2 linked regions of the Saccharomyces cerevisiae S288C genome follow. The gene in region 1 interacts genetically with each later gene. Each region holds a gene or a part of one and is shown in the gene's direction. Other genes may lie near its edges. The genes, in order: OCA1 and PRS5.

Evidence for each region.
Region 2: mutations in OCA1 (region 1) and PRS5 together harm fitness more than expected from each alone (negative genetic interaction), as found in Saccharomyces cerevisiae (2 studies listed by BioGRID).

What each region holds. Positions count from the first base shown.
Region 1 is NC_001146.8:438,067-450,238, reverse strand, and holds OCA1 (putative tyrosine protein phosphatase OCA1), read left to right. Parts: upstream 1-10,955; coding exon 10,956-11,672; downstream 11,673-12,172. Other genes in the region: Rab family GTPase YPT53, read right to left, coding at 1-371; phosphatidate phosphatase APP1, read right to left, coding at 865-2,628; YNL095C (uncharacterized protein), read left to right, coding at 3,399-5,327; 40S ribosomal protein eS7 RPS7B, read left to right, coding at 5,924-6,067, 6,413-6,841; PHO23 (Pho23p), read left to right, coding at 7,881-8,873; PLS1 (Pls1p), read left to right, coding at 9,320-9,442; Ras family GTPase RAS2, read left to right, coding at 9,669-10,637; MIC27 (Mic27p), read right to left, coding at 11,922-12,172.
Region 2 is NC_001147.6:205,055-215,093, forward strand, and holds PRS5 (ribose phosphate diphosphokinase subunit PRS5), read left to right. Parts: upstream 1-7,189; coding exon 7,190-8,680; downstream 8,681-10,039. Other genes in the region: phosphoinositide 5-phosphatase INP54, read right to left, coding at 1-831; MET22 (3'(2'),5'-bisphosphate nucleotidase), read right to left, coding at 1,049-2,122; CRT10 (Crt10p), read right to left, coding at 2,338-5,211; APM4 (Apm4p), read right to left, coding at 5,466-6,941; MAM3 (Mam3p), read right to left, coding at 8,963-10,039.

The sequences.
Region 1 (12,172 bases):
CCCACCAAGGCAATAACGATATCATGTCCTACCTTCTCGTGTAGTTCTTCGACCCAGTTTTGAGCCTTATAAAAAGACCCTTCATTAGTAACATCAAAAACTACCAAAGCAGCTTGAGCATTTCTGTAGTACATAGGCGCTAAAGGAGCAAATCTCTCCTGGCCTGCCGTATCCCATATTTCAAATTTAATGACCTTGCCATCCCTTGTAATTCTCTTTGTTAAAAATGCGGCACCAATAGTAGGTTCTTTGCTCTCTTTAAAATCGTCAGATACAAACCTGAGGACTATTGAGGACTTCCCGACAGCAGATTCTCCGAGTAAGACTACTTTGATAGTTAATGTTGGAATAGCTGCTGTATGTTTATCCATTCTACTTAACTTCGATGCTGAAAAAATGTAATAAATAATTTGAATCTAACTCTATTTGGTCAATATACGTGCATTCAGAAGGCCTTTCCCGACTTATAATATGACAATATTTAATAAATTCTACGGATTTATTTTATTTACATGGGAAGAGGCTTTGCAGTTTAAGGACCCCTTCCGCCCCGGAAATTGACATTTTAGGGTATGGTTGGTCACCAAGGCGTACGCGATAATCAGTTGGAATGGAAAGATAAACTGAGTTTAGGGTATTTTGTAAGAGTGTATTTGATCGGCAACCGAAGATTTTCTTTACTCTTGACTTCATAAAATTTACATATTTACATTTAGCCCTTCTATAACCGTTTTTTTAATTTCCCGATCTGATGAAAAGGATGCAACATCACTCTAAAACGTTGAAAATGGCTCCAATTCATAAGGTCACTTTAGTGTATACAATTTTTAAACTCCCTCCCGATGTATATAAATAACAGTGTATTTAGTTTGAATACTTCTCCCTAATTCTGCGAATACTGTCTTCCAAACTTAATGCCGGATCCGAAAAGAACATCAATGTGGTGTCTTGATTGCTCAATTTTTGAATTGAGTCCATTACTCTTCTCTTCCATTCATCTGCTTTTTTATCCATGAAAGCACCATACATGCCATAGTCATTTTGTGAGGATGGTACATAGTAAGTATTAGCGTCTAAGTTAGGTAACTGTCTGTTCGGCAACGGTGGTGGGGCAACTCTTTTAGCATTGTTCTCATCTTTATTACGGCGTGACATTCTTATACTTTCGGTTTGCTCTTCTGTCAACGATGGCTTTTGAGTGGAAGGAATGGGAGGTGGTGGTGGTCTTCTCCTGGTACGTACGGTAGACTTGGTCATTTGCATGGGCCGTTGTTGTAATTCGATGATATTGTTCACTTCATTCATAACTTCTTCATCATGCGATGGGACATCACTCATGGAATTAGAGCAACATCTTATATAAATAGCCAGAATCTGGTTCGGAAATTGTAAAGCCGTAGTGGTATACGCTTCTAAGTCATGTTCACCAGAATCACCGACCAAAATAAATTTTTTTTTGGGAAAATCCTTTAAGATATTTGCAATCGGCTGAATTTTTCTATTCGCACTTGAAGTCATGATAGTGGAAAAGAAATTACCAGAGTATTGTTTCAAAAAAATTGGACCCGGAGGAAAATTGGCGCAAATATATTGTTTCAAAAGAGTAAAAGTTTGGATGGGTGAATTAGAAACATAAAAGAAATCAACGTCTGCGACATCATGTAAAGTTTTGTACCAAAGAGGAACACCATCTATTACCCACGATTGAACATCATGGATGAAAACATTACGAAACATCGATCTCCTGTCACCCGTAACGCCAGTATGCTTGATGGTGTCGTCAATATCACTGATTAAACCAATACCGTAGGGCGAGACATAATTGGCCGGAAATGTTTCAGATATGGGATCTGCATGGCCTTCTATAGGGGTATCTAATGTAATATTAATCTTGGACGGTAAAAAATCTGTTTCTGCCTTGATTAGTAAATTACCATAAGAGTCCGTGGTACCAAAAAAGGAAGCCGTATCCCCTCTGAGCTTATCTTTGGGCAATAGGTCAACCACCACTGGAGTATTAGGAACTTTTTTGGACAGGAATCCTTGAATTCTCTCATTCAGAACATCTTCCTCTTGGATGCCCATATGTGAATACCTATTTTCGCTCTTTGAAGACAAAGAACTTTCTATACTTGATTGGGAGTCGTTTAAATCTCCAGAATCCTCTTCGAGATGAGGGGGAACAACAGGTGCAACATCGGCCTCCGCCGTTCCAGTTCTAAGATATTGTTTACAAAGAGAAAGCAACCACCTATTTCTCCTGCTTGTAGGATTTCCTGGATAAGAAACAGCACATCTGACAGTAGTTTCAAAATCTTTCCGAGGCGCACTCAAACCGTCAGGGTCAACCAAATTAGTTGTGGTATACGTTGGAAAATATGTTATCGTGGTATTATGTGGCAATTCCATAGGCAAGTCATTATAACCTTCGAAGGAATTCGTAGTGCTCCTGATGCCATCCATTGTCTTTTGAGAAATGGATGACGTCAGGTTAGGAATATAAACATCCTTTGTGGTTCTTATGAGATTCATAAACCGTTGTTTCTTACCCATTCGTGGGTCTCCAGAAGTAGGACCGCTAGTAGCAGCAGTAGAGGAAGAGCTTTCATCGTAACCTTGACTATTCATCTTTTTATTCCTTCTCCAAAGCAATTTTTTCCCCCTTTGACGGAACTTATAGCCAAGTTTCAATGTCCTTGTCTGTGTTAATGGTCCCAAGAAAAGACGGCGATTACTAGACAAACTCTTTATAGCCAACAAACCGACAGAGCTAGAGAAACATATGACACTGTTTATTGAAAGCCTTGTGCAACCCACTATTTGCGATATATATGCCTTAATGATGCTAAATTTTTGCCCTGGATCACGAATAGTATAACAGCTTCGTATACTTTATGTCTCGTGGGCATAAAAAGCCAAGAAAAGATACACAAACCAATCACAATGAACAAGCTAACCGTAAAGGCGTTGCCACCCTATTCTAATGCTTTATCTGTCCGAGAATTGTTGGTAACCTCGTTTGGAAAGTTAGACCGCGCCCTCATCATCATTTGCGCGACCACGTGACCCGCTGCGGCTGCGGTTTGCGCGAAGGTTACAATATCTTCCTACTCGATGACTTTTAACCTTTGGATCAAGAGCACAACGTTCTGCCTGAACTCTTATGCTCATTTTGTGCATACAAGTTGCCTTTTTGTGCCATATTAGGATATATTGCCTTCTGAATAAAACTATTCAATTCTCATCACTTCCGCAGTTAGAGAACGCTTTTATGGCATATTGTTACAAATCATCGCTAAAAAAGATATAAACAGTGACTAATTAGCGTCAGCGCAATTTTTTTGGAGAAGTTATAGAATCAAACAGAGAAAGGGATTGAAACCTCAAATTTTCATCAGATGGTGCACATTACTCTGGGTCAAGCGATATGGGTGTCAGTTAAGCCGATAATCAAGATTTATTTGATTATAGGAGTCGGCTTTCTGATGGCTAAAATGGGAATTCTTACGGTTGAAGCAACAAGAATTATTTCTGATATCGTGCTAACAGTTTTACTACCCTCTCTGTCATTCAACAAGATTGTCGCTAATATTGAAGATAAAGACATCAAATCTGTGGGAATTATCTGTCTGTCTGCCCTCCTAATATTTGGTTCTGGGTTCTTTTTTGCATACGTTGTTAGGCTATTCCTGCCTGTTCCTAAACAATGGTACGGTGGTATTCTTGCCGGTGGTATGTTTCCAAATATAAGTGATTTACCAATTGCATATTTACAATCTATGGACCAAGGGCTTGTATTTTCGGAAGAAGAAGGTAACAAAGGTGTGGCTAACGTCATTATATTTCTGACAATGTTTCTAATTTGCATTTTCAATTTGGGGGGGTTTCGACTGATTGAAAGCGATTTCGAGTACAACGACGATGAAAGCGCCGTTAGGGTTTCAGAAACGACAAAGACACAGCCCGCAGTAAGTGCAAACACAACTAATACAGATACTAGCGAGCGTTTCTTCTCAAACGAACAACAGCTTTTCAACAATAAGTACACCGCTCGCGATAGTCTCACTGAAGCTATAGGTACAAAGGGTGAAAACGCAGACGTACCACCAATTTCAAGGAGATCAACAAATAGTATAGCTCCCCTGTCACTACCAGACACTTCTTCGAATTCAAAGATTACAAAACCAGTTCAGGTGAAGGCAAGAAATACTATTGCGTGCACTCAAAGCGAAGAGTCACAGGCAACTCGTGGTTCAAATCCATTAGATAGCCAATCATCTGCTTCAACAATACATTCTTATAATACGTCAGAGAGTTATGAGAGTAGCATAGATACTATGAGAGCACGTAGAACCGCGAGCCAGCCGAGAGCTTACAATACTACCACACTCCTAGAAGAGAACTGTTTAGATGAAAAATGCCCAAAAAATATGTCTATGGCGGCATTGGAACCTATCCGCTCCATTGATATGCGTGCATTACCTTCTCAAAATATACACCATCTTATCAGAGAGTACTCCAACGTTGACCAGTATGGTCATCAAAGGAGGAATTCCAGTTTACGCGGCGCTGATATGAATGATGTGCATTCAATTAGCTCAAATTCCACTTTACAGACTATAAAAACTGCTAACCTAACCAGGATCTTAACATCAGATGCCACTGTAAGTAAAAAGGATATTGAAACATCCGGCGAATCATTACCACAGTGGATGAGAAAATTTTCATTAACTCCATTACTTGTGTTTTTCCTAAAGAATTGTTTGAGACCGTGCTCTATGGCCGTGATCATCGCCCTAACTGTTGCATTTATCCCATGGGTCAAGGCTTTGTTCGTGACTACCGCTAATACTCCTCACATAAGCCAAGCTCCTGACAATGCACCACCATTAAGCTTTTTCATGGATTTTACAGGTTATGTCGGTGCCGCATGTGTTCCATTTGGGTTGATATTATTAGGAGCAACTTTAGGAAGATTAAAGATTGGCAACCTTTATCCTGGATTTTGGAAAGCCGCTGTGACACTCGTCATTTTGAGACAATGTGTCATGCCAATTTTTGGTGTCCTATGGTGTGATCGGTTAGTGAAAGCTGGATGGGTTAATTGGCAAGATGATAGAATGCTACTATTTGTTATAGCAATCAGCTGGAACTTGCCAACGATGACTACCCTTATATATTTCACCGCCAGTTTTACGCCGCCAGAAACAACTGCGCCAATCCAAATGGAGTGTGTTTCATTTTTCTTAATGCTGCAATACCCGCTAATGGTTGTTAGCTTGCCATTTTTAGTGTCTTACTTTCTGAAAGTACAGATGAACCTTTAGTTTTAATCCATTAAACAAAAAATTATTACCACTCCTAATCACTGTTTTAGGGTGGGTTAAAATTAACATTCTCCATTTTTATATAGAACTAATAAAAAACACCTACTTATAGACACGACCAAACTTTCCACAACCTTTCATCAGAGAGAAATGTTGATCAAGTTGAATGCGTGAAAGTAGCAATTCGAAACAACAACTACCTGTCATTCTGCATAGTAGTAGTTACGAAAGGCACAGAAAATAACAAAAAAAAAAAAAAAGTCAATTTTCTACGGTCTCCATCCGTACCTCTTTAAATCCGTACATTATTGTTTTGCTTAATTTCAATATTTCGGAAAAAGCGAGCGCCCTGGTAAAATGTGGTTCAAGCCTGCGAGCCTTTGCTTGGTAACTCACCAAATGCAATTCAGTCACGTTCCACACAGTTTGGGTTTCCAGCCTGGCTTTAGGGAAGAATGGGCTCACTAGGCGTTCATAATACGCGGAGGGGGAAATACCAAATGCTATTGATTATGGTTAAAATATGTGTTATTTGACTTTGTATATACAAACAGAAGAGAAACCAACACACTAAAGACTAGACACATAACTGACCAATGTCCTCTGTCCAATCCAAGATCTTATCCCAAGCTCCAAGTGAGTTGGAATTACAAGTCGCCAAGACCTTCATCGATCTAGAAAGCTCCTCTCCAGAACTAAAGGCTGACTTGAGACCATTGCAAATCAAATCTATCAGAGAAGTATGTTAAAAGTTATATAATTTGGAAGCAGCAACATTGTGATTTCTTCTAAAGGGGTTCTTTGCAGTAATTTTTTCAAAAAAGAGTGATTTTGAGCAGTATCTGTATGAAATTTTCATGTGTTCGAGAAAAATAGTAATTCCGAGAGCTGTCAATACCATGAACGTTGCGATGAGCCTTTGAACTATAAAGGCCTCCTTGGTCAGTACCAATATCGATGAATAAAATAGAAGCACGCGAAAAAGACCTTACCCCAAGGAGAAGAATCACAAACCCTTTTTTGTTATGAATGAACCAATTCAGTTACTAACTTTATTTCAACGCTGCTTGATTCTTATTGTTTAGATTGATGTCACCGGTGGTAAGAAAGCACTAGTCCTTTTTGTCCCAGTTCCAGCTTTGTCTGCATACCATAAGGTCCAAACCAAATTGACCCGTGAATTGGAAAAGAAATTCCCTGACCGTCATGTTATTTTCTTGGCTGAAAGAAGAATCTTGCCAAAACCATCTAGAACATCTAGACAAGTCCAAAAGAGACCAAGATCCAGAACTTTGACTGCTGTTCACGACAAGGTTTTGGAAGACATGGTTTTCCCAACTGAAATTGTCGGTAAAAGAGTTAGATATTTGGTTGGTGGTAACAAGATCCAAAAGGTTTTGTTAGACTCCAAGGATGTTCAACAAATCGACTACAAGTTGGAATCTTTCCAAGCTGTCTACAACAAGTTGACTGGCAAACAAATTGTTTTTGAAATTCCAAGCCAGACCAACTAAATAGTGAGATAACTATCATTCTCATCATTTGTCATACTTAAAGAAAATAATATTAAGAAAAAATAATAAAAAAAGAAACATAGTTATGAGAATACAAAAGGAGGTTTCCAAAAAGTGGGCTTTTTTAATTCGAGTAAAATAATTATGAATGTATACTTAAATATATTTTGTATCTGTCAATATAGAGATGCTTTAATTGGTGTTTTGACATTTTGGAATACATATTGGGTTGATTTCCCAAGTTCTCGCTGCAATCAGATAAAAAGGAAAAAAAATAATGGTTGCTAAGAGATTCGAACTCTTGCATCTTACGATACCTGAGTATTCCCACAGTTAACTGCGGTCAAGATATTTCTTGAATCAGGCGCCTTAGACCGCTCGGCCAAACAACCACTTATTTGTTGAAGAAAAAGCATTATTTATCGCTAGACAACGATACGTCCATCAACAACCGTTAGTTCTTTCACATTGATATGCGGATTACTTATCTGAAGGAAAGGAAAAAGGCGTGGAACAAGTGAGCATTAACATAACCATCTGAAATCTTAGATGATCCCAAGTATGTGTAATTAGATCCGCCTCTTCGCCCAGCACATTGTCCATGCATTATCTGCTTACCTCTACGCGTACCTTGACATGGCGTGTTACGTGTTTCAACTTTGTATAATCAGAATTTCATTTGAGTATATTTTACAAGTCAAAAGCCCAAATGACGTATACTTGAAATAATTGAGGCACGTCCAATTGTGAGTGGCAAACCTTTTTTTCGGTATTCTAGATAGAGCTAATCGCGTATTTGCAATTATAGTTTACAATTCTTAGACGATTTCCGAAGAAAGTTAAAAATGCCCTTGAAAAAAAAATATGTAGGAAAGAGTGCATGCACATGAAGAAGAAAGAAAGAGCTAGGGAAAAAACGAAAAAGGAGCCTAAGGAAAAGAGTTAGGCGTTTACAACAGGACGAACCCGGAAGGAGAAAAGTTTGTAGTCTTGCAGTATCACAAACAGCAACCACGTTCATAGTCTGAAATACGTACAAATGAGTTCACCAGCGAACCTATTCCCTGGATTAAACGACATAACTGACGTGCTGGAGGAATTCCCACTGGCCACCTCCAGATATTTAACATTACTACACGAAATAGATGCAAAATGTGTGCATTCTATGCCGAATTTGAACGAGAGGATAGATAAGTTCTTGAAGAAAGACTTCAATAAAGATCACCAAACACAAGTAAGACTGCTCAATAATATCAACAAGATTTATGAAGAACTGATGCCATCGCTGGAGGAGAAAATGCATGTCTCATCCATTATGCTGGATAATCTAGACAGATTGACGTCCCGGTTAGAATTGGCGTATGAAGTCGCAATCAAGAACACAGAAATTCCTAGAGGTTTAAGACTGGGTGTGGACAACCATCCAGCAATGCACCTCCATCATGAACTAATGGAAAAAATAGAGAGCAAATCAAACAGCAAATCGTCGCAGGCACTGAAGAGCGAATCAAGAAGAGAAGCCATGGCTGCCAACAGGAGGCAGGGCGAACATTACTCCGCCAGCACACACCAACAAGACGACTCAAAGAACGACGCAAACTACGGAGGCAGCAGGCACGAGAGCCAAGACCACACTGGTAACAACACAAACTCAAGAAAAAGAGCCAACGCTGCCAATACCAACAACGCCGATCCAGAGACCAAAAAACGCAAGAGGAGAGTTGCCACCACAGCCGTTTCACCAAGCACTATCAGCACGGCAACTGCCGTCAATAATGGCAGGATAGGTACATCTACAGCGTCCAGGGGAGTTAGCAGCGTCGGAAACAGCAACAACAGCAGGATATCAAGACCAAAAACCAACGACTACGGCGAACCGCTCTACTGCTACTGTAACCAAGTGGCATACGGGGAAATGGTGGGGTGTGATGGCGCAGACTGTGAGCTAGAATGGTTCCATTTGCCATGTATTGGACTCGAAACTCTACCTAAGGGCAAGTGGTATTGCGACGACTGCAAAAAAAAACTGTGAAATAGCTCTCGGGCGAATATCGCCTTAAGGAAATATCTACTAAATACCGAATATATACATATATATATATCTTAGCTACATATATATATATCTTAGCGTTTTAACGGGCGTGGCCGTATCAATGGATCTGCAAGATACTTGGGCCCTACCGGTCTAGATAAAATATTCAAATCGATGGTGATGACGGCACGATAAAACGTAATAAATGATGAAATGACTTGTCACGGCGTAGCAGCGCCAGCAGCTCAGTCTAATCGCCGTACAGTGGGTGGTGTGGCTAATCGCTTAGGCTTTTTATTCAGAAGGACCTTTTCATTCACCTCGCCCCCCTTGGAGGTTCCTGCCTGACCCCTTTGCCCCTGGCCTCGCCCCTGCGCCATGTCTCTGCCTGGAGCGTGACATTTAGGACGGTGAAGCTAGGCAGGCCTTCAGAAATTAAACGGAACATGACAGCAAAGACGAAACAAAGCTGGAATAAGGGGATCTGGGAAAACGGGAAACAAGGTTCACATCAGCAAACATTTCTACCGAAAATCTGGGTAAACATTTATAGTACCCCAACATCTTAAGTTTTAGCCGTTGTCTTCTCTTATCGCCTAGAATCGCTCATTTCAAGCGTAACGCAATCCGGCTTTTGTTTTTTTTCCATTTTATTCATCCACTCTTTATCTGACTCTTCTGCACTATATTAATCAACTAGGAGAAAATTACTTGAGCAGAAAGATACGAGAGAATTACGGATAAAAAAACCAAGTTAACCGTTTTCGAATTGAAAGGAGATATACAGAAAAAAAAATGCCTTTGAACAAGTCGAACATAAGAGAGTACAAGCTAGTCGTCGTTGGTGGTGGTGGTGTTGGTAAATCTGCTTTGACCATACAATTGACCCAATCGCACTTTGTAGATGAATACGATCCCACAATTGAGGATTCATACAGGAAGCAAGTGGTGATTGATGATGAAGTGTCTATATTGGACATTTTGGATACTGCAGGGCAGGAAGAATACTCTGCTATGAGGGAACAATACATGCGCAACGGCGAAGGATTCCTATTGGTTTACTCTATAACGTCCAAGTCGTCTCTTGATGAGCTTATGACTTACTATCAACAGATATTGAGAGTCAAAGATACCGACTATGTTCCAATTGTGGTTGTTGGTAACAAATCTGATTTAGAAAACGAAAAACAGGTCTCTTACCAGGACGGGTTGAACATGGCAAAGCAAATGAACGCTCCTTTCTTGGAGACATCTGCTAAGCAAGCAATCAACGTGGAAGAGGCGTTTTACACTCTAGCACGTTTAGTTAGAGACGAAGGCGGCAAGTACAACAAGACTTTGACGGAAAATGACAACTCCAAGCAAACTTCTCAAGATACAAAAGGGAGCGGTGCCAACTCTGTGCCTAGAAATAGCGGTGGCCACAGGAAGATGAGCAATGCTGCCAACGGTAAAAATGTGAACAGTAGCACAACTGTCGTGAATGCCAGGAATGCAAGCATAGAGAGTAAGACAGGGTTGGCAGGCAACCAGGCGACAAATGGTAAGACACAAACTGATCGCACCAATATAGACAATTCCACGGGCCAAGCTGGTCAGGCCAACGCTCAAAGCGCTAATACGGTTAATAATCGTGTAAATAATAATAGTAAGGCCGGTCAAGTTTCAAATGCTAAACAGGCTAGGAAGCAGCAAGCTGCACCCGGCGGTAACACCAGTGAAGCCTCCAAGAGCGGATCGGGTGGCTGTTGTATTATAAGTTAATAAAAAGGAAATAGTTGTAGAAACGCTAAGACGAAAAGAACTCTATAAAGTTGAAACGAGTACACACATTTATAAATATATACAAAAGTAAATAAAAAAGTGACTGTTTTTATATTGCTTATTGCCATTTGCTATTTCCGTTTCATTCTTGTTAACATTGGAAACTTTGGGCAATATCATATGGTTGCCGGGTAAAGGAAAAAACAAACAACATCGCTATAACATAAAATTGGACATTGCAGAGAGTCATCAATCACATCCATTTTCACAAGAAAGAGGTGTTCCACCTGGAATAACAAGCTTCTCTTTCCCCTTAGAATGACATCTAAAGTTGGTGAATATGAGGACGTTCCAGAGGATGAGTCCCGCCTCACAGAAGAGAACGTATCCGTACCTGAAGAAGAAGTAGAAGACGAAGACGAGGAAGAAGACGACGATGATGATCATATATATATCAATGAAGAAACAGAATCTGGTCGCGAAAAGGTCTTGGTATCACATGCCCCACAAGAACGTATCGTTCCACCTTTGAATTTCTGTCCCGTTGAAAGATACCTCTATAGATCTGGTCAGCCTTCACCTGTGAATTTCCCCTTTTTACTAAACCTAAAACTGAAAACAATTATATGGCTGTCTAACGAAGAACCTCAAGATACCCTCCTAGAGTTTTGTGATACTCATAGAATAAACTTACAATTCGCAGCCATCAACCCGGATGCCGGTGAGGACGATAATCCATGGGACGGTCTCACTGAACATTCTATAATTAATGTACTACAAACGATCGTCACTCAAGAGAATTATCCCTTGCTAGTGTGCTGTGGTATGGGAAGACATAGGACTGGGACAGTCATTGGATGTCTCAGAAGAATAATGGGTTGGAACTTAGCCAGTGTATCCGAAGAATATAGACGCTTTACTGGTAGCAGAGGTGGTAGAATTCTTGTAGAGTTGCTTATAGAAGCTTTCGACACTAATTTAGTAAAAATAGACAAAAATAAAGCACCAAGTTGGTTACTGACAGCTTTGGAGTAGAGGCAAGAAAAAAAAAATGCAAAAGATAAAGAAAAAGCACTGAGCTTTATGACCATTTACCTAAAGTTTGAAATGTTTCAGGATGCACGGCCCATTCGCGAACCAACTTCTAAAGATCACACGAAATGAAATTCAAAATAAATGAAATTTATTTAATGGGTAATTTTATAGAATATTAATTATCCGATTTATATATGGACATACTTACTATGGACATGATAATGAACAAAAAAAGATATCCGCTTGATATCATGCTTGCTCCAACTTTTCATAAAGCTGTTCCCTTGCATACCTTATATTTTTTTGTAATGTCTGATCGATTTGACGTTTTAAATCACATTTCTTGGCAACATATCCTTCCTCATAAATTCGTTTCCAAGTATTGTGATATGACTTGACGAAATCAGCTGGCAGTAAATCATTTTCAGTGGCATTGACCAAATTCTGTGATGTCTGTGGAGCCCAATACTTGAATGTAGCTGCTGCCAATACCCATGGTA
Region 2 (10,039 bases), on another chromosome or scaffold:
CGGGATTCTTTTTGTATTATATGTTTCCTTTTCAAACAACTTGAATTTGTATGTCGGTGGAAATGTTATCTTCAGCTCCTGAAAACCTTTGCATAACGGTTCATCCTCTCCTTTACGTAGCAGATTTAGTTCTTCATGATTTTCTAATAGACGCCTTAACGTTGTGGTGGACGAATAATTGGTAGTTGGATCATAAGTACTAGTAACCCTAAAATTCAAATCGCCTAGAAAGAAAAAGTGGTCGCTTTTTGCAACCTCAGAATCACACACTTCACTCATTATTCGTTTGTAATCATCTATTCTTTGATTTCTATTGTTGACACCTTCATTTGCATTTAAATGAGCACAAATATAGCTAAATCTTTCCCAGTTCTCCTCGCCATTGCGTGTCATCTGAAAACTTATCAAAGTTCCACCTTTCAAGTGTGTACCAAACCAACCGCATTTCCCATTCCGTTTCAAAATATCATCTTTTACCTTTAGCGCATTATTATTGTATAATACTATTATGGTAATCGCCCCAAGACTATTCACCCCTAAACATGAATACTGCTCATCCCCTTGTGTAGCTGACACTTTTTCATTCAGACAATTAACCGCAGTAGTTGTAATTCTATCGATTAAATCACGATTAACAGCAGGGAAGGAGCCTTGCCATATGGGGACTACTTCTTGGAACCCCAACACATATAGATCTTGCAATTCCAATTGGGAGATGCCGTCATCGTAGGGGAAAAGCAATTGCTTAACGATTGCTTTCGAATTTTCAACGGGAAATTCCTTACCACAATTGAATGTAGTTACAGATACCTTCCAATTCGTTTTGTTCATTCGGTCAGAATCCTGCTGTATTTTCTTGTCTCACTTTTCTTCTTTGTTAGCCTACTCTTACCTCTTCAGTTTTGTTCTTTTCACTGTATTTTCCTTTTTTCACGCTATAACAACAATAAAAAAAGGTTATCATTTAACTGGTATGTACATACACATACACACATATATATATGTACTCATATATTTATGTCTATCAATAAAGTAAAATATATGTTATTTAGGCGTTTCTTGACTGAATGACATCGCATGATGTAGACACCACCAAGTCATGTAACTCGCGTGGGCCACTTGACGCTATAACTCCCTTCGTAGCTAGCGTTCTACCGTTACCGAAGTCTAGAGGAACATCTTCCATGGCATCTGTATGGATACCTCCAGCTTCATGGACAATAACGTTGCCTGCAGCATGGTCCCAGATCTTTTCTTGGTAAGAAAGTTTGATAGGCAGACGTAAATATACGTCTGCTAAGCCCAATGCTAACAAACAGTACTTGGCTTGAGAATCCAAGTGCAAAGATTTGGATATATTTAGTTTGTTTTTGATAGCAGTTTGTTCATCATGAGAGGAGTGTCCCTTTTCAACTCCCTCTAAAGTAATCATGTCTTTAGTGTCTTTTAAGTGTCTAACGTGGATTTTGGTCCATGACTCTGCATCTGAAGATGGAGAATAGAAGGCACCTAAACCTCTAACAGCACGAAAGATATAACCAAATGACTCATGGCCTTTCAAATCTTGGGCCCCATAAGAACTTAAAACTAAGTTGGGGCATCCAATACAACCAAGCTGAACAACACCGTCCACAATTAAGGCCAGACATACTGCAAACTGTTCACCTCTTAAAAACCCCTTGGTTCCGTCAATAGGATCCAAACACCAAAATCTTCCTTTTCTACCACCTTCGTAATTGCCGAAATCGATGATTTGCCTGACGTCCTCCAAAGATTTTAGCGGAAACTGATCGTTTGTAAACAGAAAATCATCCTTTTTATAATTCTTGTTATAAACTTCGTCATTGGCTTTTATTTCGTTTAAAATTCCTGAGACGAATGCGTCGCTCAATCCTGATGAGGATTCTTCACCAACTACCTTATCATCAGGAAAATTGCTCTTGATAGCATTTATGATGATCGTTTGTGCAGCATAATCACCTGTGGTTACTGGAGAATTATCATTCTTGGTAATAGTAGTGGAGTCCTTGTGAGAAATCACTTCAGATTGAATTCTCTTAGTCAATAAAGACGCCTTTCGTACAGCTTGAGTTGCAACCAATAATTCTCTTTCCAATGCCATAGTAAAGTGCTGATGTCTTCTGAGTTGTCTTTAAACTTCTTACTTACTAACTAATAAATTAAAGAGAAGTGCAAACGTTCTTTATATGTGGCATGGTTTCTTCTTTGCAAACTGAAAGTAAAATCGCAACACGTGATATTGCTCGTCTGAGTCATTCGCGCATTTCAATGAAGGAAGGATTATTATATAGATGGCTATGTAAATGTCAAAATATGCTATTGTTGAGTTGTTCCATGCTCAGTTGTGATCTTGAATGCCCTCAAGGAGCCTCTTGATGCTACGTATAAGGTAGCATATCCCTTACGTTTTAACTCTTCACTGTCAGATGCATAAGTGTAATCTAGTCCGCAAATATCACCCATGGGGAAATAGACGTCGCACACGCCGCAGTATGTGTCCGAGCTCTCTCCATCTGCACCATACATTGGTGCGTCAAACAAGTTCCTGTTACATCTGCACTCTGGACTAGGGTTAACAGGGTCTTGGACTTCCCATCCAAGAATATACTCTTGTCTAAACGAATAGATGCCTCTGTACTCTGTTAGTCTTAGTAATGAAATGAGACCCAATTGTGAAGCCACGGCTATGCAATTTAGTTCTTTGATGTGACACACAAAATTTATTCTGTTTAGTGCTTGGAGCAGCGACTTGGAAGCACACGTCACAACACCATCTAAGGGAAAAATCTCATGATGAGTTGCTGATATAATTATGAGTGGATTTGCTTTCATCAACACCAGCCTATGGGCTGTGGTTAGGAAGAAGAACTCGTCGTGCATTTCGGATAGTTGATACCCAAGAGGCGAATCTTCTGAGCCCGGTACTGCTGACTCTAATAACCGCTTGACGTTTCTTACATAGTTGTGGAACCCCCAAGATTTCTGCGATTCTGATTTCAAGTGAGCACGCTGTTCAGTATCCCTATATCTTCGCTGGAAACTTGTTAAGCTGCTACCAGATTCTTCATTTTCAGGGTCGCTATTGACATCGTCCTCTTCTGTAGAGTTCAGTTGAAGGCTACAAATTTCTGGGTCCTTCAAGACCGTGTTCAAATCCTTGCCAAAAAGTGTTCTCCAATCGGCAGCGGCATCGGTGTTGTACCATAAAAAGTTTCCCGATTCAATATTTGGTATATGATTTACTGAACTTAGCGATTTGAACTCTTTTGAAGTTCGTAGTTGTCTTTGTTTATCCATTTTCAAATTACGAATACTTCTATTAAATTCGCGAGATATATCTTCAATATCATTTTCGAGATCAGTAAGTTTATAAGTAGACGGCTCACAGATCTTTCTCCCAGAAGTGTTTTGATATTGCGATGTTTTATTTCTTCCACTAGGAGTTATCAACTGTGGAAAAGTATTAATAATATCCTTGTATTTCGAAAATCCACGCTCAGTAGCACGATAATGTTTATAACCAGAATCCTCCCAAAATGTCCATTGGTGTAAATGCTGTTCACATGAGGTGTTTTTTGTCACTGCATCATTCATATCGTCTAAGTCACCGGCATGTAAAATAAGTGCAAAATCCTCTCTGCTGTACTCGTATTTTATCGAGCCCGTTGTAGTGTAATTTCTATCAAATGAGGTAAATCTTAATGGTATAACTTCATCGGGGATCCCTGCTGAAGAAGTCAGTCGTAGGTCTGTGACAGGAACCTGAAATTGATTGAGTAATGTACCAATACCGAAATTCCCAGAGAGGTAGGCGTTATCACAGTAATACCCAAGTAAAAAATCATCTCGGCAAATAGAATATAACATGCTTTCTTTGAAACCGTCTTGGTAGTTAAGATTCAACAATTCGAAATTGTCAACTTTCGCAAAATCCTTCTTAGTCAGTGGAGTTATTGTCCATAAGTCGTCGCCAAAAAATTGAGTATCAAGGAAACTCGTTAAAATGGTACAATCATGCTCCTTTAATTTAACGGTAACAACATTCCCAAATATAGAACAATAACTTAATGTAATATATCCAACAGAATCTTTTGAATTAGGAACAAAGTTAACACAAGGAACATTGTGAGATGAGGGAAGATCTAGAGGCCGAATGTACCGTCTTTCCTTCTTTACATCTTTATCGAATGCAAAGACTGTAACTCCAGGCTTGTTATGGCCAACAGCGATATATATGATGCCATTTATATCTATTACATCAACACTCCAACAAGATTCCTCTACTCTTAACACCATATATGGATCAACATTTATGTATCTTTCCCGGCTGTTATCTTTGCCTCCCAAGATATCCGAAGTAAATTTATTAAATATCTTAATAACTTTGTTGATTTCCCAGATATAAACGATTCCGTTGTCACCGCAAGCTAGTAGAAAATCTTGATGCATGAAGTTACAAATCTTCATAAAGTTGATAGAACATAGTTCAGGTATGCTGTTGAACTGTGTATCCTTAAATTTCACATATGATGAATTGCGGAAGTTTCTTACATCTCCGTCATCTGGTATTATCACGGGCAATAAGGCGTGACATATTTCTAATGACGAAACGTTCAATAGTATATCGAAATTATGAACTTCGACGCATTGACCGGCAGCCAGGAAGGAATAACTCCCATAAGTGACGAACAAATTGTTCTTGAACTGCAAACCACCATAAGCAAACCTATTTGTGTATTGAAAAGGTGCGAACTCTAGTGGTATCTCTTGAACAAGTAGTTTTTCGTCCTGTGGCAATAGTAATTCAGCTGGATTCAAAAGCCTTGATGGTCCCCAGACGGGTTCTAAGTTGGAAAATGCAGATTTAGTATCCTCCAAGAAGGCTTTCTTGAATGAGTAAGCAGGATTTGGGATTTTCCATGAAGAGTCATGTTCTTCTAGGTTGTGTAATCGTTCTTTAATAAACTCCACGGTTTTTGGATGAAACGAATTGCAACTGGAGTTTGGCCACTTGAGTTGATAATATTTCTTTAACGTTATTATCTCATTCGTTATATTCCAGCCACCAGACGCCAGAAATACTTCTGAGTCAAAGCACTCTCTTGTCGATACTGCCCTTTGTATGATGGCCCGAGACTTAAGCCACCTTGTAAAGAGATCATCATTTTCATTGGGAATCTGAGGGGGCATTATATTCAAAACCAAATTTTCAAGCCTAGAAGTACCAGTGCCTCTTGATTGCGCTGTTGATCTTCATTACTATGGTGTTTTTGGTGTCTTGTATGGTTTTTCCATGTTTTTTCCCTGTTTTCTTTTCAATGAAAAACTAAATTGCATGTCTCTCATAATAGAAAATATTCAATATTAACAAAATGTGCATTCTAAAGGAAATTACTATAAAAAATACAGGCATGATAAAAATATATGTACACAAAAATTACGGGCTAGTACCTCACCTCGTAAGAACCGGCTTTCGATATATATTTAATCCATTTTACAGCACGATGCTTACTGTCTTTTCCAGAAATGGTAAAGTATCGTACGACTAAGCCAGAATTACTGAACATCATGACCTCGAATTCCAGGGATATTGGAGGTCTTGTCCATTGTTGAAGATTCAATTGAGTAGTATCACTTGTGGACACAGTAACTGCACTTAAAGTGTTTTCCGTCAACCCATTGTACTTGTTGAACCTCCAAATCATTGCATTTTCTTCTGGCACAAACTTACAGTGGCCATTAGAGACACTTATCTTACAATCCACAGTGCTTGGTGGAACGGGTATATGTAGTACCACATCTTTGGCGGAAAGTTTTCCAGGAAATAAAGACTTCAATGTTATCCTGTAATCAATCTCGTTATCTCTTGTAGAATGTGTAACAATAGGTGTAACCTTGAACGGCAGGTTTATGTTATCTCGTACATGATATTTCATCAACTCCATCGAACCGTCTGGTGGGACGAATTCAATGATATGATTTCTGTTAAATTTGTCAAGTGAGACACATTCGTGAAACTTGCAATCTTCCAACAAAACACTACCGGCAGCAGCTTTGGGAATGAAGTTCTTGTTTCCAAAATCGCTGCCAGAGTGACGCTGCTGCTGTGCTAACCATTTCTTCTCGTCTTCGGACTGCATTCCCAAAGAATCATTCAATCCAAATCTACAAATAGGGGTCCCACTCAAGTGTGTGGTGATATCTATGGTGCCATCAACGTATGATTTCAAGATAGAACCATCCCTAGATACCAGAATGTTTATCCTCTCATTGACATACAAGAAAACTTCATCCTTCTTGTGTATTATCCCCTTGGGCCTCCAAGTGATCTTATTGTTATCATAGAAATCAGAAGTGGAGTCTCCTTGACCCAGGAAACTACTGCTTCTTTTTGTCAAAAATTTGGGAAAATGTAGTTCTCCTGCTGAAGAAGTAGGAGATGAAGAGGAAGATAATACATCATTTCCATCGGGACTATCTAACAATCCGCCCATATTTCTAACGGGTTTCACAGACATCTGCGCTATAACAGAGTTCAATTCAGTGTCAATTGGTATCCCATTTCCACCCAACATTATATCCAGCATCTCATGCACAATCATGAATTCCTCTTTCAAGGCCTCCTCTCTATCCAATCGATAAGCATTCATCACTGCATCAAGCTTATATAAGAACTCCCAGATCGCCGCACTATTAGCGTTGCTTCTCGTAATGGTTACCAACCACAAATTGTCACCATGCCTCGACCTGATGTGATGGAAAGTAGTTGAGCCCAGTGTCAAAACAGGCGATCTAACATCTAGATTATTGATCACTTGTACTCGGAAGATATCGGATATGGACCGCTTCAACGAGTTCTTGAAGAACTTGTTCAAGACAAGTTCACCTCTCGATGAGTATACCAGCACACCACTAATCATTGCTCACCATAACTCTATGTGATTCTTTTCTCCAACCGTTTATGAAAGGTTTCCACACTTTATCATCAAGTTCTCCTATACTAATCAATTAAGGAAAATATGGCTGTTACCCTTCGACCGCAGTTGAAAAAAATTTTCTATCAAATAATAAATGGCTACGATTAGCGAGAAGGGCTGGATGAGATGAGAGTAAGTTGGTCGAAAGTGACTTTGTTGGAGGTTGCTACGAGGCTAGGAACGCAGTCTGGATGTCAATGAGTAATATTGTTGTTTTTGGAGGGGACTCGCACCCCGAGTTAGTTACTAAGATCTGTGAAAATTTGGACATTCACCCATCGAAAGTAGAATTAGGGAAGTTTTCTAATGGGGAAACGAACATTGCTCTTCGCGAATCTGTTCGTGAAAAGGATGTATATATCATCCAGAGTGGTTGTGGCCAGGTGAACGACACGTTCATGCAGTTGCTGATTTTAATCAGTGCCTGCAAGTCCGCTTCTGCCTCGAGGGTTACAGCCGTAATGCCATATCTCTGCTACTCGAGACAGCCAGATATTCCATATACTGCCAAGGGTGCTCCCATAATTTCCAAGCCTAAAGAAAACTATACTTTTGAATCGCATCCAGGCACACCCGTGTCATCTTCTTTAATGACGCAAAGACCAGGTGCTGAGAGCTCGTTGAAGAGTTTGGATAGTGCAATACGATCAACTATCAACTTAGAAAATCCTCAACCTATCAGAACACCAAACAGCAGTGCTACGGCGAATAACAATTTCGACATCAAGAAGACGCTTTCTTTTTCAAGAATTCCTATGATTCCCGGTGGTAAGTTACAAAATACAAGCAATAGCACGGACGCTGGTGAATTGTTCAACGCTCAAAATGCAGGCTATAAGCTATGGGTAGTACAAGCCGGTACTTTGATTGCTCATTTGTTGAGTGCTGCAGGTGCTGACCATGTGATCACAATGGATTTGCACGATCCACAGTTCCCTGGGTTTTTTGACATTCCAGTGGATAATCTCTACTGTAAACCCATTGCACAAAACTACATCCAGCATCGCATTCCAGATTATCAGGATGCTGTGATCGTTTCTCCAGATGCTGGTGGTGCAAAGAGAGCTACGGCTATTGCAGACGCCTTGGAATTGTCCTTCGCCCTAATTCATAAAGAAAGAAGATCTCAGTTATTGAAGGGCCCTCCAGATGCGACGTTAACCTCTGGTGGTTCGTTACCAGTATCTCCAAGGCCATTAGTTACTACTTTGGTTTCCTCCCAAAATACTACTTCTTCAGGTGCCACTGGGGTTGCGGCCCTTGAAATGAAGAAAACAACTTCAACATCTTCCACCTCGTCGCAATCTTCTAATTCGTCCAAGTTCGTTCAAACTACCATGCTTGTTGGCGATGTTAGAAACAAGGTGTGTATTATAGTCGACGACTTGGTGGATACTTCATACACTATTACAAGAGCTGCGAAATTGTTGAAGGATCAAGGATCTACCAAAGTTTATGCCTTAATAACGCACGGTGTTTTTTCCGGTGATGCGCTAGAAAGAATCGGCCAAAGTAGTATAGATAAGTTGATCATTTCTAACACGGTTCCTCAAGATAGAACACTACAGTACCTAGGTAAGGACAGAGTGGATGTTATTGATGTCTCCTGCATAATCGGTGAAGCAATTAGAAGAATCCATAACGGTGAATCCATTTCTATGTTGTTCGAGCATGGATGGTAGTGGCATTGATGTGTTCATTTTTTTATTGATAAAAATAGGGGAAAGTGTCTATATATTTTGCGTATAAAATTCTCTACATTTTTTTTTCTTTGTTTAGTATGTGTATTGAAACATTTTATTTATAGGTTAGAGAAACAAAAAAAAAAAAACTGCAATTTCTTCTTGTATGTCTGTAGAAAAAATTTTAAGCTGCTCTCCCCTGTGATTTCATGCGTCTGGGACTAATAAGAACGGTGATGATGGTTATTATGATGCATGGGCAATTCTTTTGGCATAATCTCTTCATCTTTTTATGGTCGACGAGGAGCCGTTGGCATCATAATTGGAAGTTCTTGACAAAGAGTCGGTGAAATTAGAACGATCATTGTTGTTAGCGTTTTCGTTCTTAAATTTATTCTTAATACTGGAAAATAAACTTGCATTTGAACTTGAACTTTCTCTATCGTCACTTCGATTAGAATTCTCTTGATTGATATTCTCGTTTCCATATTCACTTTTGGATTCGTCCCAATCTTTTGCGGGGCCAATGATGGTTTTTGGAACACCTTTGACTGTGATGACAGATTCCACAATACCATTCTTCGTATTTTGGTAAGAGGTTGAGATTGTAACGTTTTGATTTTCGTTGCCGTGATTCGCGCCAGAATTTGGAATTGATATACTATCAGGGCTATTTCTCGTGGTTTTAGTCGAGGTAGTAACTTGAGTTGGTTGACCCGACCGTTGAGTATGGAGAACAGCTTGGCGAGATAGCTCTGCATGATCACTTAATAGTTGTTGTTCTTCGGCGGAGAGTGATTTATCATTTGAGTGTGGTGCTGGAGAAGGCTCTTTGCTAGAATGAGGAGTGTGTGTAGTAATGATTTTCGGAACATTGGCAGGCTTTTTAATGGTAACAAAAGATTTATTTACGTTCAACGGGTTGGACGCTAGATTTGAAGGTATGATGGTGCCATGTTCCGTCACTTGTGGAGTTGGAGACAATACAGCGTTGGACCTGTCGTAACCATCATTTGACTTCTGCTTCCAAGACTTATTATTCAAATCTTGCTGTGGGTGCTCGGATGGGTGATTAGAATTGGATGGAGACAAGAGTGGAGACGATTCATCAGCTTGGTCAGCAGCTTTGTGCTCCTTGTGAGAGCTAGTGTACAAATGATGCAAATAGGAAGTAATGTGCCTTTTGCTCAAGGGCCCCGGTTGTTGTCTCATAATATGCTGATGCATGTCCACAAAGACATCAGACTCGTCCACGATTTCTTCACCGATCAATTCTTCAATGACATCCTCCAAAGTTAAAACACCAATAGCGCCATGCGAGGAGCCCGGCTCTTTACTAACGACGCACATGTGAGCTTT